Linked DNA regions of Sus scrofa. The protein of the gene in region 1 interacts with the protein of each later gene in a pairwise test. Links are inferred from orthologs where the notes say so. Each region holds a gene or a part of one and is shown in the gene's direction. Other genes may lie near its edges.

Region 1 (4,302 bases):
AGTTTAGTCTGTTCACGGGACAAGCAAGACTATGACGAAGAATCAAACCTAGAGTTGCTCTCTGCCAGCTGTCAAAGCAGGGGTTCTTACACTTTAATGCACACACACATTCCCCTGGGGATCTTGTTTAAAATGCACATTCTGATCCTGTAGGATGAGGCCTCAGATTCAGGATGTCTAACAAGCTCCCAGGTGACGCCCATGCTGCTCCTCACTAGAACACAGGCTGAGTGACAAGAGCTTCCAGTAGGTCATGAAACATGCGTGCGTCTAATAACACAAAGGAAGAATGAGTAAATCCCATAGCAATCTCATTAACTATCACTCAAAACGTGAATGAGTCACAACCTGAGGCCTGTCGCTGCCCGTTTCTGCCTTAATGTTCTTTCTGATGTTTCCATTCTTTCTTGAATTTCATTTCTTCAGGGGTTGCTCATACCAAGTGCTGTTTCTTAGCCTTGCAGGGCTTTCTCCTTCTCCTTAGACGAAGTTTAACCATTTGTCAAGATTTATCTCCTCATCACTCCTCCTTCCCCGCGGCTCCAGTCCAGCTGACTGCTTCCCACAGCACTTAGCAATTACCACTACTTCCTCAGCCTTCTGTTGGAAGCCCGCTTTCTTGATTCCTGTAGAAACCCACCTCTCAGGGAAGCCCCCCAGAAAGACAACATAAGAAAGAAAGGCAAAGTCGCTCCTCTGGGTACGGAGCCCTGGAGTCACTCGGGGACCACCCCCTCCGGAGGGCAGGCCCTGGGGCTCAACCAACCGAGTCTCAGCACAGCCTCGCCAGTGAAGCGATCTCAGCCCTGCGTGCCGCGGACTGCGGAGCGGGCGCCCCCGCGTGGCCCTGGAGGCTGCGCGCCGCTGCCCACCATCGAGCCGGCGGTGGCTAGAGAGGCCGGCGGGCCCCGGGCGCCGCGGTGGTACGGCCACAGGGAGTGCGCGCTAGGCGGGCACCGCGCCGCTGGCCTCGTGGCCATTTTAGGAGGAACCGCGGCTCGCTAGCCCCGGGCGCGGCTTCAATTTCAATAACTTTATTGGTGGCTTCTCAGCGGAACAGCCATCGCACCATTGGCCTCGGGAGGAGGGAGAATTTACAGGAGGTGACTGGGCGGGGGCGGGCGCCCCTGGACTGTGAGCGCAGGGATGAGGGGGAGTTCCCGAAAGCGAGTTTCCTGAGCCGCCGGCAACCAGGGGGTTTGGGGGTTCCGGGCGCTTCTGGAGGCCGGGGAGGGGGAGGTTGTCCCCCGGGCACGGCCTCCCTGGGGCGGGGATTCCCTTGCCCGGGTCCCCAGGCACAGGGGCGGGGCCGGGGGTGCTCCTGACGCAGCCGCCGGGGTGTTCCTAGCCTTGTGTTCCGCACGGCAGGTGGCCCCCGACTCCGAGCTGCAGCCATGGGAAACACCGCCAGCGAGCGGGTGGCCGGGGAGCGCCACGGCGCCAAGGCTGCTCGCGCTGACGGCGCGGGCGGCCATGCCCCGGGCAAGGAGCATAAGATCATGGTGGGGAGCACCGACGACCCCAGCCTCTTCAGCCTGCCCGACTCCAAGGTGAGCGCTCCCACGCCCCCAGCGGGGGGCGAGGCTGCAGCAGGGTGGGTGTCGGGGCTCCTCCTCCGTTTGGGGATTTCTTTCTTATCACACTGACCTGAGTTATGGTTTTGGGAACTAAAGGCTCTCTCGGGGACTGCGATGTTGAATGATCATTCCTTTCGCCGCGCTGCCTCAAAATAGCCCGGAGGTGGAGTTCTTGTTAGGCGACTCCTCTGCTGGCCGCATTTTCGGATGAGGACAACAGACCTAACTCTTGGTTCTCCCAACAGACACGGGTACCCTTTGCTAGGGTATCGATGAATTTGTAGGTTGTGGGCCTTGGGGAGGGTGGATTACCTGAGGGCCACATTTAGGTGGCCGTTTCTCTCATCTGCCCTGAGGTGGGCAAATGAATTTCTGTTTCCTGACAGCTTCTCTGTCTGAGTATCATCTTTGCTCTTCTGAGAGCTCAGCATTTCAGATCCCTTTTCCCCTTTGGCATGGCTGTGAGTGGCAACCACGTGCTTATTTGAATAATTTCTCCTAGTGGGGGTCAACAAAGGACATCATTTGGTGGACTGCTCATTTTCATCTCATACTTTATAGTTATGGTGGCTGAGCTGCTTCTTTCTTCCAGCCGCTACTCAAGAGCCAGAGCAGGTTAATTCCAGAATTTCTCCACTTCCCAGTAGTACTTCATCATGTTACCACCGCTGAAAACGAACAATCCACAGCAGCCTTGAAGACCTTGTTCTCAATTCCAAGGACTTGTTTCAGGGAGGAGAAAACTTGTATTCACCCCACAAAAAGCAAAGTTGGAGCTGACAGCAATGTGATTACCACCTGAATGTTTCTAATCCCTTTTAGAGCTGCTGGCATTAAATACATTAATTCCTCCAGGTAGAATAAAATGAAGTAGAAAAACAGATTGAGCAGCTGGGGGGTCTGTTTGATGTTTCTTGTCACTTATCCCTTCCTACCAGTGTGGGGTTTTATTTTATTTACTTTCCTAAAGAGAGAATAATTTGCCAGGTTGATAGCGTGGGAAATATGGATTCTCCAGTTTATTTTTTCAAGTACCAACTGAGAACATAATCACAAAAAGAAGTGAAGATGTTTTCTCGGTGTTTCTCCTCCATTCCTTTCTTTTCCCACTTCGGGACTTCTTTCTCAACATTTGGGCTGTCTCTTCAGCCATCTGAACTTCTTCAAAATTCTTCAAAGCTTTCTTTCAAAGCTTTGTACCCACTTCCCTACATTGATGACTCAGGATCTAAGTAATGTATTATTTGTCAAATGGTGACTGCAGTAACTGGCATCCTGAATAAAAGCAGGTTGCTCTATTTGAAATGGAGTCTATTTGGATCATTCTTTCCCTTACCTCAGTCTTGCTATTCATGAAATAAGAAAATGGATTCAGATAATTCTTAAAGTCTCTTCAGAATCTAAGATTTTATACTCAATGTGCTCTCTTTATTTCTTCCCTAAATGTTTCACTTAAACATTTTTCAATTGTAGTTGTAATTATTTTGCCACTTTTCCTGAAGATTTTGCTGACTATTGAACTTGGAGTAAACAATCTTTCTGCTAGTCAGCTGCACTCATGCCTGCCACAGAAATGTCACGTTATCCGTGGAAGGGCTTTCTTCCAAAGCTAAGCATATTAATAGTTTGTAGCTTTCAAATTCTAAACTGAAAATACTAAATCATACAAGTAAATGATAGAAACAGTGGCAGTGGGGCCATCCTCTTCAGTGGACTAGTTACTGGTTCTCAATTAGAATAGGCTGGAATTTGTTTAAACACTTCATGGAAAATTTGAAACACTGTCCATGTTTCAAAGCAGGGAGAACAGTGTGATGAACTCCTGTATAGTTGTCATCCAGTTTAAACAATGATCAAATCATGAATGAATTTGTACCACCTATATACCCCCATCCACTCTACCCTCACCAATTATTTTGAAGCAAATTCCAGACTATCATATCAAATATTACTTTATTAGTATTTTAGGATACATTTCTAGAGATGAGGTTTCTTTATTTTTAACATAATCACAGTGTTATTGTCTGGAAAGCTTTTTAAGAATAGACTCCCAGACCCTATATTTGAATCAGAATCTGAGGCATTTGTAATTCTTAGGCATATGTAAAAATTTCTCTAATTCTAATGCAGCCTGTCAAGCAAGAACTCATTGCTTTGAGAAAATGGAGATCAAGATTTTTTAGGAGCTCCCGTCATGGTTCAGTGGTTAACGAATCTGACTAGGAACCATGAGGTTGCAGGTTCGATCCCTGGCCTTGCTCAGTGGGTTAGGATCTGGTGTTGCTGTGACCTGTGGTGTAGGTCAAAGATGCGGCTCAGATCCCACGTTGCTGTGGCTGTGGTGTAGGCCGGTGGCTACAGCTCTGATCAGACCCTTAGTCTGGGAACCTCCAAATGCTGCGGGTGGGGCCCTAGAAAAGACAAAAAAAAAAAAAAAAAAAAAAATTCTCTAAGCCATTTCCTTATATAACGTGGAAGTCCCTTCTTTTTCTCTGTTTACTTTGGATTTATGCTGCTACTGGTGTCTCGTAGTGTAGTTTTGAGGAATATGGAGAGACAGTACAGAAGGTAGACTACCTCTGCCATTTTTAATGTAAAGCCCATATGAACAAACTAGTTTTTTTTTTTTTTAACTCATTTTATCTGGTAATATTTTGGTTTAATACCATACAGTCTTATTTACCTATTTACCAAAGTCATTCAAGCCAATCTAAAGTGAGAGTCA
Region 2 (4,223 bases), on another chromosome or scaffold:
ATGTCCCAGACACTTACTGGTCTACATCATTTGCCTACCTTGAGGCACACCCTGTACTTGATCTAACTGACCTGGAAATGTCCTGCAGTAGTTGCATTTATAGGTACAGTTCTGATCTAATTACTGTAGCAAGGGGGCATAGTTATTATTGACTTAGGTCAGTGTAGGGCAGCACCCAGAACTCTTTGCAGTCAAACCTACCCAATCCTACAACGAACACTTCAAACAGTTTCCGTGCAGCTCTGCCTCTTATGGTTTTATGTTTGAGTTGGTACCTCTTATGGGTTGGTGGAAGGGCTGTATTTTATCCTATTCATCTTTATATTCCCCTAAAGCTCCTAGCCTTCATTTAATGTCTGTCGAACAATATAAAATGCCACTGAGGTGGAAGTTAAGACCTAAAGAGAATAAACCAAGATTAAATCAACCTAAGACCATAACGTTAATGGTGGAGAACCAGAATCAGAACCTATTCTAGATACTGTTGATTCTCTGAATTAAAATGGGGCATGAGGGTTTAGGGAAGGTCTTCCTGAAGAAATGATACTAAAACTGAGTCCTGAGGGATGACTAGGAGTTAGGCAAAGAGGTAGAGTGGGAAACTCTTCTTGGCCCAGGGATCAACATTAAGTGTCTTAAATGGGAGCCACTTCTCAAAGCACATTTCAACTCTGTCCTTGGTCCAGCGAATTTTTTGACCAGCTTGCCTCAGCATCTTCTCTCATCCTTTGTCAGCACGTCAGGGGTGCTGTGAGAAACTTCCTTCCATCCGCTCTGCCTTTGACATTTCATCTTTCCCAGCTATCTGATTTCCCTGACCCTTCGACTTCCTATCAGGGCCTTTCAAGTTGCTCTCCTATTTCACTTCTCCAACCTCTCTGCCCCAACCCTCTCGACTCTGCAGTCTTTGACATTCAGTCGCCCTTCAAAGTCAGAGAGAACTAGCCAGGTTAGTACTTTGAAGATATTAGCAACCCAAAGAGGTCTCACCAATCCCGCACCATTAGCTCAGAACCAGAGCTTAGTCAACATCCATGGGTTGTTCCACCACAACTACTCTGGGGGATGGCTTTATTTGTGGGTACTCCCCCAGTCCACGCCACCGTGGGAAAAGACACCTCTTCTTTCTCTCCATCACTCCCTCCTACAGGCCCGCCGGTAATGCTGCAGTCGCGACGGCGCTTCAGGTAGTCGGGCTGGGCCTTCGCGTGGGGAAGAGGAGCATCCACGCGCTGAGGCGGGGCACGGAAAGGCTGCGGAAGGCCGACACGCTGAGGGGGAAAGGGGAAGATCCAGGCAAGCCTAACGCAGCTCACTGGGAAGGCGGGCGGAAGACCCGGGCGGAAGGCGGTGGGCCGGTGGGCGGGGCGCCGGGAGGGCGGGGCCGCTTGCGCAGGGGGTGGAGCTCCGGCGCAGGTCACGTGACGCGCCCGGCGGCAGCGGCGGCGGCGGCGGCAGCAGCCGCGGCGTCTTTAGCGGCGCCCAGTGCAGGATGGTGCTGGAGGCGGCGGCGGCGGCCGTGGTGGCGGCGGCTTCGTTGGCGGCAGCGGGAGGGGGTGCTGTGGCGGCAGCGGCGGCGGCGCCCGCGGGTGGTATAAAATGGCGGATTTCGAGGAGTTGAGGGTAAGCGGGGGCGCGGGAGTGGAGTGCGGAGGCCGCGGGGGAGGGGAGGGGAAACCGGGGAGCCGCAGCGTCTCCGGCCGCCACCTTCTTGTTTCGAGGGGACCGGTTGGCGGAGCCCCGGGCCCGGGCCCGCGTCGGAGCGAGAGCGCAAGCGGGCGGGGGAGGGGAGAGAGACGGCGGAGGACGCCCGCGTAGCGCCGGGCCGGCGGGCCTGGGGCCCAGGGTAAGCGGGCCAGTGGGGTCCCGCCAGGGGTCCGCACACCTTGCACGCGGGGGCAGGGGCCCTGGGGAAGGCGCTCCTGGGGACCCGACTTACCGTTTATTTTAGGGGATGAGGTGGGGAGCAGGATTTGCTTTTCCACCTTCGTGAGGGGTGTACGTGTCCCTGGTGATTCCTAAGTCTACGGGCTACTCGGTGGGAGGCTGTTTTCTGAAACGTGAAGTTGCTTTTAGGAATTTTTTCTCATCGATGGCTGATGCTACCGTTCAGTCAGATCTGTCACGAGAAAGGCCCCTTCCTCCCACCAGTGCTTCCTCAACATCATAGAGAGAAGCATGGTCTTTTGGGGACCCTGCCTTCAATAATCGACCTTAAACCTTGCTGTTTTCTTAGTGCTATGGTAAGAAATCGGCAGAAGTCCGTGCTGTCATGAGGTTTGTTTGTGAACTTGTTTTTTGCTCTTGAACAATTTTCCTTCCTAGTCCTAGAACAAGGTCATAACTTTATTGTTGATACCTTTGTATAGTAGAGGTTTGAAATGAGCTGTTGGGGTTAGAACGGAAAAGATATTTTTCCTGGGGCTGATAATCTTCTTCAAAGTCCTCAACTGAGACAAAACTGTCATAAACGAGCCAGAATTTTTATGGATCGCTGAATTACTGGCGACATAAATGGGGTACTTAAGGACGGACACCCTGATTTAAAAAAAGTGTCAAGAGATGAATAGGAACTTGAAATTAAGTTAACCACAACTAATTTGCACAATACAGACATGTTTTAGGGTTACTTTTTCGGAATAAGAAGGAAAGGGGAATCAGGTAAAAGATTCAGTTTATGTTTGTGACTGTTTTTAGGAGAGCGATGAGAAGCGGTGGAAGGATATTGGCTGGTTACCTGGCTGGTATGGTGTACATCAGCAAAAGAATGTATTCATGGTTCTGATCTAAAGGGAAATTGTTTCGGTTTGAATAATGCCTACCTTTCCCCGCCTGCTGTTTCAAAAATTATTTCATTCTCAGTAAAGAGAAAAGCATATTAATGAATTTTATGCCTGTACTAGTTTATATACGGAGGACCCTGATAGTAGGTAAAGAGAGTTCATATTGATAAATGTGAGGGTTTTAGTGTCTTAGCCTCAGCTGTAGAGCTTTTAACACCTGTAGACCTTTTGAAACAACCAGGCCTGAGCCTCACCTGTGTAAGTTCATGCATTAGGTTTACAGTGGGTTGAGAATACTGGTTTGTAGTTAAATTTATTTTTATCTGCAATGTCGTCTTAATTTCTGTGTAGTAACAGATGCATACCACTTTTCCTCCTCTAAGATTATTTTGTTGATGAAAACTTTTCCAAGACCTGTGTTAGACTTTATAAATGTTGTTGGTCAAAGCTTAATAAAAAGTGGAGAATTTATTTGTTGGTTTAGGCCAGAAAGGGCACTCAGTGCTTAAGTTGTAGTGGAACCAGGAACTGGAAAGTGTTTGGAAACCAAGATATATTCTCCCTTTCTCTCTCCCTCCCTTCTCCCTTCTCTTTCCCACCTCCCATTTTGTTTTGTGAGTCAGCTTCATCATCTTTTTCTGTAAGTCAGCTGTCTCTACTTCTCCTTGTATTTATTGGATAAGAGTATGGACTGTGCGAATGCCAGAAGGGTTATCCACCCCAGTCTTTGCCTTAGCTGCTCAGTAGCATCCCCTCCCATCTTTTAGGGCTACACCCCTGCATATGGAGGTTCCCAGGCTAGGGATCGAATCGGAGCCACAGCACAGCCACGGCAACGCCTACACCGCAGCTCAGGGCAACGCCGGATCCTTAACCCACTGAGCGAGGCCAGGGATTGAACCTCATGATTTCTAGTTGGATTCATTTCTGCTGCGCCACCACTGGAACTCCAAGCATCTTCTATATTAAAAGATGTGCTGTATCTCTCTCGCTGTGCCCCACTGCAAAGAGTGATGATGGTGATGGCAGATAGCCATTATAATAAAGTGCTTATTACATGCCTAGTTCTGGTTTAAGCACTTTACATACGTACTTAGTTTGCACAACAGTTCTATGAAAAATTGAGGCGTAGAGGGGTTGAATAACCTGATCTAGACCACACAGCTTGATCCTGGAAGACCTAGGGATTTTTGATCTCAGAGGTCTAGCTTTAAGAGAAAGCACCCCTCAGCATCTATGGTGTACTGCTCTGTTCAGTTTCCTTCAGGTCCACTGTGTGCTCCTATTTATCATCTTGTGAATCTGTGAACTAAATTGAATGATAAGTAAACAACATGCTTCTTATGTGACATGTAATATTATAGGGAAAGCTGGACAACTGACCAAAAATCTAGTTAGAAAGGAAAAGGGGAGGAAACATCAAGGGTTTTCTAAATAGTC
Region 3 (4,240 bases), on another chromosome or scaffold:
AATAAACAATGGCCCAGCCCTGGACTCATCCATTTCCCTAAGAAGCCTTGGTTCCTTTCAGTAGGAATTGGTATTTTAAAGGCTACAGTTTGGGTACTGAGTAACATTCCATTTTGTGTGTGTGTGTGTTCTCCATAATGACTGCACCAATTCACATTCCCACCAACAGTATAAGAGGGTTTCCTTTCATTAGTTTTTAATTCTTCCTCCCACTGTTTTTTTGTTAAATAATATAAACATATACATGGGGGGAATGGTATGTTAAAGACTATGATTTGGGCACTATGGATATTTACTGTTGTTGACTGGTTAGGGGTTATCAATGTGTGTGTACCTCTACCCCCTCTTTCTTCCTCAAAAACTAGTATACTATATATACTCCTGTGCATCATCATGCTTTTTTTTAAAAAGTAAATCCTAAAATTACTCTGAACCAGTACAAAGAAATCTTCTTTATTACTATATTCTTTATCAATAAGCCAAATGCTCATTGTATGGATGTTTCCTCAATTTTTTTTTTTTTTTTTTTTTTTGGCTGTGCCCTGGGCTAGGGATTGAACCCATGCCACAGCAGTAACCTAAGCCACTAAAGTGATACCACCAAATCCTTAACCACAAGGGAACTCCCTGGATGTTTCATCATTTATCGGCCACTGAAGGATTACATTGGAATACTCATGGGTTTTTTCCAGTGTTTTGCTTTTACAAAGAATGCTGTGAGGAATAGTGTGTGAAGATGTTACTTCTTATTCTGGGAACAGACTCCAGGAAGTTGGACTGCTAAACAGATATTAGATATAGATATTATAGCGATGTCCCTCCTCTTACCCTCAAATCATAACAAGTCAGGCAGAGAAAAAGAAATGGAAGAAAATGTAGTAGCACAGAGAAATTTCATTTCCGATTTTCCCTACAAAGAATGAATTCTGAATTGTTACATTAATGTAATAAACAGCATAACTTATATACAGCAATGCACAATATTTTCCATATGGAAAACTATGAAAGAATCAAAAGAAAATTAAAAAAATTAATAAAAACAGCACACATAGTAAAAAGAAAAGATAAGGTAGAAGGTTTACAGACATGAACTCTTTTCTGGCTGTTGTAGTTCTGAAATTTGGTAATTTTTTGAGGTAATTTTTTAAGCCCTTGGAATTCCCTAAAATAGAGTAGAATTCAATCATTTTAAAGTAAATTAAGCAAAAAGCCTTTGCCCAAGGTTCTTTCCATTCCTATTTGTTCCAAAGTTTTCATACCTAAAGAAAAAAAATTATGAACACTCTTTTTTTGTGAGTAATGTATTATATATATATTATAGGATTGAAATTACAGAGCCTGTGCTAAGTATTCCATTGCAAGCAGCTTAATAAGGACTGCCTGCTACCAACTAGCTCCAAGGAAAACAATCTTTGTTTAATCTAAAGAATAAGCAGCTAACAAGCAGAACCAGATTCTCCAGGTGTGAGGTAAGCAATTTGTTCTCATTTGATATTAACAGCAAAAGGACGACTTTAACTTATTTGACTTCAACATGTGGCTTTCAATTAAGTTACCTAAATGAAAATCATACAGAAATTAGCCTGTGAACTAGAAGACAGAGATTTAAATAATCTTAATAAAACATTAATGTTACAGATGATACTCAGGTTTTCTCTCAAAGGCAGGACTCCAACTGCGTAAGTGGAAAAGCAACAAGAGGAACAAGACAAAGGTAAACAAACCATTCTTTTTTGTACTTTTAACTGTGAGACATCCAGGGACTGAAATCTGTGACATAAAGAGAGCTCAACAGATAATTAAAGTTATTGTTTTGCTCAGATTTGGACCAGGCTACATGTGGCTGATCTGTTCATATATACTACTGATATGCTGAATGAGATTTGGGTTTAGAGTTCCTGGAAATAGACCACTATAATAAAAATCAACTTTTTATTTTAAGTTTCTTTTAAAAAGTATCTTTTCATTTTGGAAACACAACAAAGTTAGATGCTACAATAACAAACTTAAAATTCTTTCCTCTATAAACAGACTATATAAATTAGTCATACTGTGCTTGCTTTACAGAACACTTTTCCATTTAATTCTGAAAAGTTTATGCCCAGTTTGACACATATGTGTAACCTCTAAAAATTTGAGATAATTTTCTAAAAGATCTTAATTAATTTCTTCATTGTTGTTTTCCAGGTTCTTTAAAATTAATCTGAGGAACTTAAAAAATAATCTTTTGTAAAAGGACTACTGTAAAATAAAATATCAAAGTACTCACTTTTAAATGTTTCAGCTAATGTATTTCAAGTATTTAAATTATAAAAATGAATACACACTTTATATTTGATTTGATAATTTAAAAAATTTAAGTCAGCATCATTTAAATGAAACACATACACTTTCAAAATTAATCAATATATAAAGGCTTAACCAAAACATGTTTGTTTTTTATGTCTTCCAAGTTATTTCACAATTGTTATCATGTTAGATTTTAACATATAACCCAATTCAAATTAAAATAAGAATTACAATTAATAAATATTTTAAGGGTAGACTTGAAAGTTGGCTATGTAATATCTACAACAAATTGTCTTTGTGGCTATACAGGTTTAAATTTAATATACATATCATTTTATATCTGTACAGCTTACTTTAATCAGAGAATTGAGTGTTCAGAATTATGAGTCTTAATATTTAAACAAAAATGGTCTTATTGTTACATTAAACAAGTTAATCTAATGGTTAACTTAATTACCCTAAGTAAAAAGAATTTAAAAAGAAATGAAAGGCTGAATTATTAAAAAAAAGTCATATAATTTAAACTTAGAATTTACATAATTTGCAGTAGTTTTTTTTAGTTTTCCTCATTTAAGTGGCTAAAAAGGTGAATATTCCAGTAACTGCTAATTTCACCTTGAATTATGGAAATGTTGAAAGCTGTCTTCATACACAAAAGCAAAAGAATATTCCATTTTATGTTAAATAAAAACTGGCTACATTTCTTGAAATATTTAATCTACATAGTAACTATAAAAAGAAATTTCTTTAAAATATCAATCTATAAAATACCTATCCCAGGGCATATTTTTTAAAGCACTAGATAATTTTAATTCATATTTCTGTTCCTAGAAATGTTCCCTGTCTGTAATAGGGTGGAGAAACTTTTATTTGAGTCATACAAGTTTACTTTGGTATTTCTCAGAACAAATTGTCAAGCTTGATTATCATATCTATAAATCAGTGTTCTTTCTTTTTGCAAATATCATGTTAAAGCTCAAAGATATAGTCAGCTATTAACAGAATTCAAAACCATATAGCAGGAGTTCCCATTGTGGCTCAGTGGTTAACGAACCCAACTAGCATCCGTAAGGACGTGGGTTCAATCCCCAGCATGGATCAATGGGTTAAGGATCTGGCATTGCTATGAGCTATGTTGTAGGTTGCAGACATGGCTGGGATCCCGCATTGCTATGGCTGTGGTGTAGCCAGTATAGCCAGCGGCTACAGCTCCCATTGGACCCCTAGCCTGGGAACTTCCATATGCCTCGGGTACAGCCCTAAAAAGAAAAAAACAAAACAAAACATATAGCAAAGCAGTAAGTTAAACATGCTGAAAGATGACTCATATTTGATCTTTTCTGATATTAAGAAAATAACTTTCATGTACCGAAAAGATTGCATAAAATGGTAGTCTCATCAATTTCTCTTACCTAAGCAATCAAATGATTTTACAACTATGAACTTAATATTTCATGCCTTCATGAACTTTGTCTCTTCCAATTTTTAAATTCTAATATGCTCATATATCTCACTTTGCTTATAATTTATGAAGACATAAGATTAAACAATTAAATTGGAAATAGTTATACGTGCAGTAATGAGTATACAACTACTGGAAAATGCAATTTATGTATAGCATGTAAGTGTTACCAGAGTACCTACATTACGTCAATTCCTTAATGAATATAAGGAGTTAGGGAACATTCTGAATTGTAAACTCCGTAAAGATAATCACCTATGACTTTCAATGAGGATGCACAGATAAAGAAATTCCTCTCTCTCTCTCTCTCTCTCTCTCTCTCTCTCTCTCTCTCTCGCTAGAAATGCGAGACGTGTTTGATATAATCTTAAGGGGGAAAAAGGACCAATCTTAAAACTACCTTATTACATTTAGAGTAAGAAAGCGAAATTTCCAGGTGCCAGAAGTGAAGAGTGAACACATTCAGAACAGAAATTAAAGCTAATTCCA

What was found.
Region 2: the proteins of PRKAB2 (region 1) and PIAS2 interact in binary tests that used the Homo sapiens proteins (3 or more experiments, as listed by UniProt). The link is inferred for Sus scrofa from reciprocal best matches to the Homo sapiens genes PRKAB2 and PIAS2.
Region 3: the proteins of PRKAB2 (region 1) and STX19 interact in binary tests that used the Homo sapiens proteins (3 or more experiments, as listed by UniProt). The link is inferred for Sus scrofa from reciprocal best matches to the Homo sapiens genes PRKAB2 and STX19.

Annotation. Positions count from the first base shown.
Region 1 is NC_010446.5:100,377,176-100,381,477, forward strand, and holds the start of PRKAB2 (5'-AMP-activated protein kinase subunit beta-2), read left to right. Parts: upstream 1-1,368; 5' UTR 1,369-1,394; coding exon 1,395-1,550; intron 1,551-4,302. UniProt on the Homo sapiens protein: Non-catalytic subunit of AMP-activated protein kinase (AMPK), an energy sensor protein kinase that plays a key role in regulating cellular energy metabolism.
Region 2 is NC_010443.5:96,542,981-96,547,203, reverse strand, and holds the start of PIAS2 (E3 SUMO-protein ligase PIAS2), read left to right. Parts: upstream 1-1,423; 5' UTR 1,424-1,599; coding exon 1,600-1,623; intron 1,624-4,223. UniProt on the Homo sapiens protein: Functions as an E3-type small ubiquitin-like modifier (SUMO) ligase, stabilizing the interaction between UBE2I and the substrate, and as a SUMO-tethering factor.
Region 3 is NC_010455.5:165,857,123-165,861,362, forward strand, and holds the start of STX19 (syntaxin-19), read left to right. Parts: upstream 1-1,440; 5' UTR 1,441-1,714; intron 1,715-4,240. UniProt on the Homo sapiens protein: Plays a role in endosomal trafficking of the epidermal growth factor receptor (EGFR).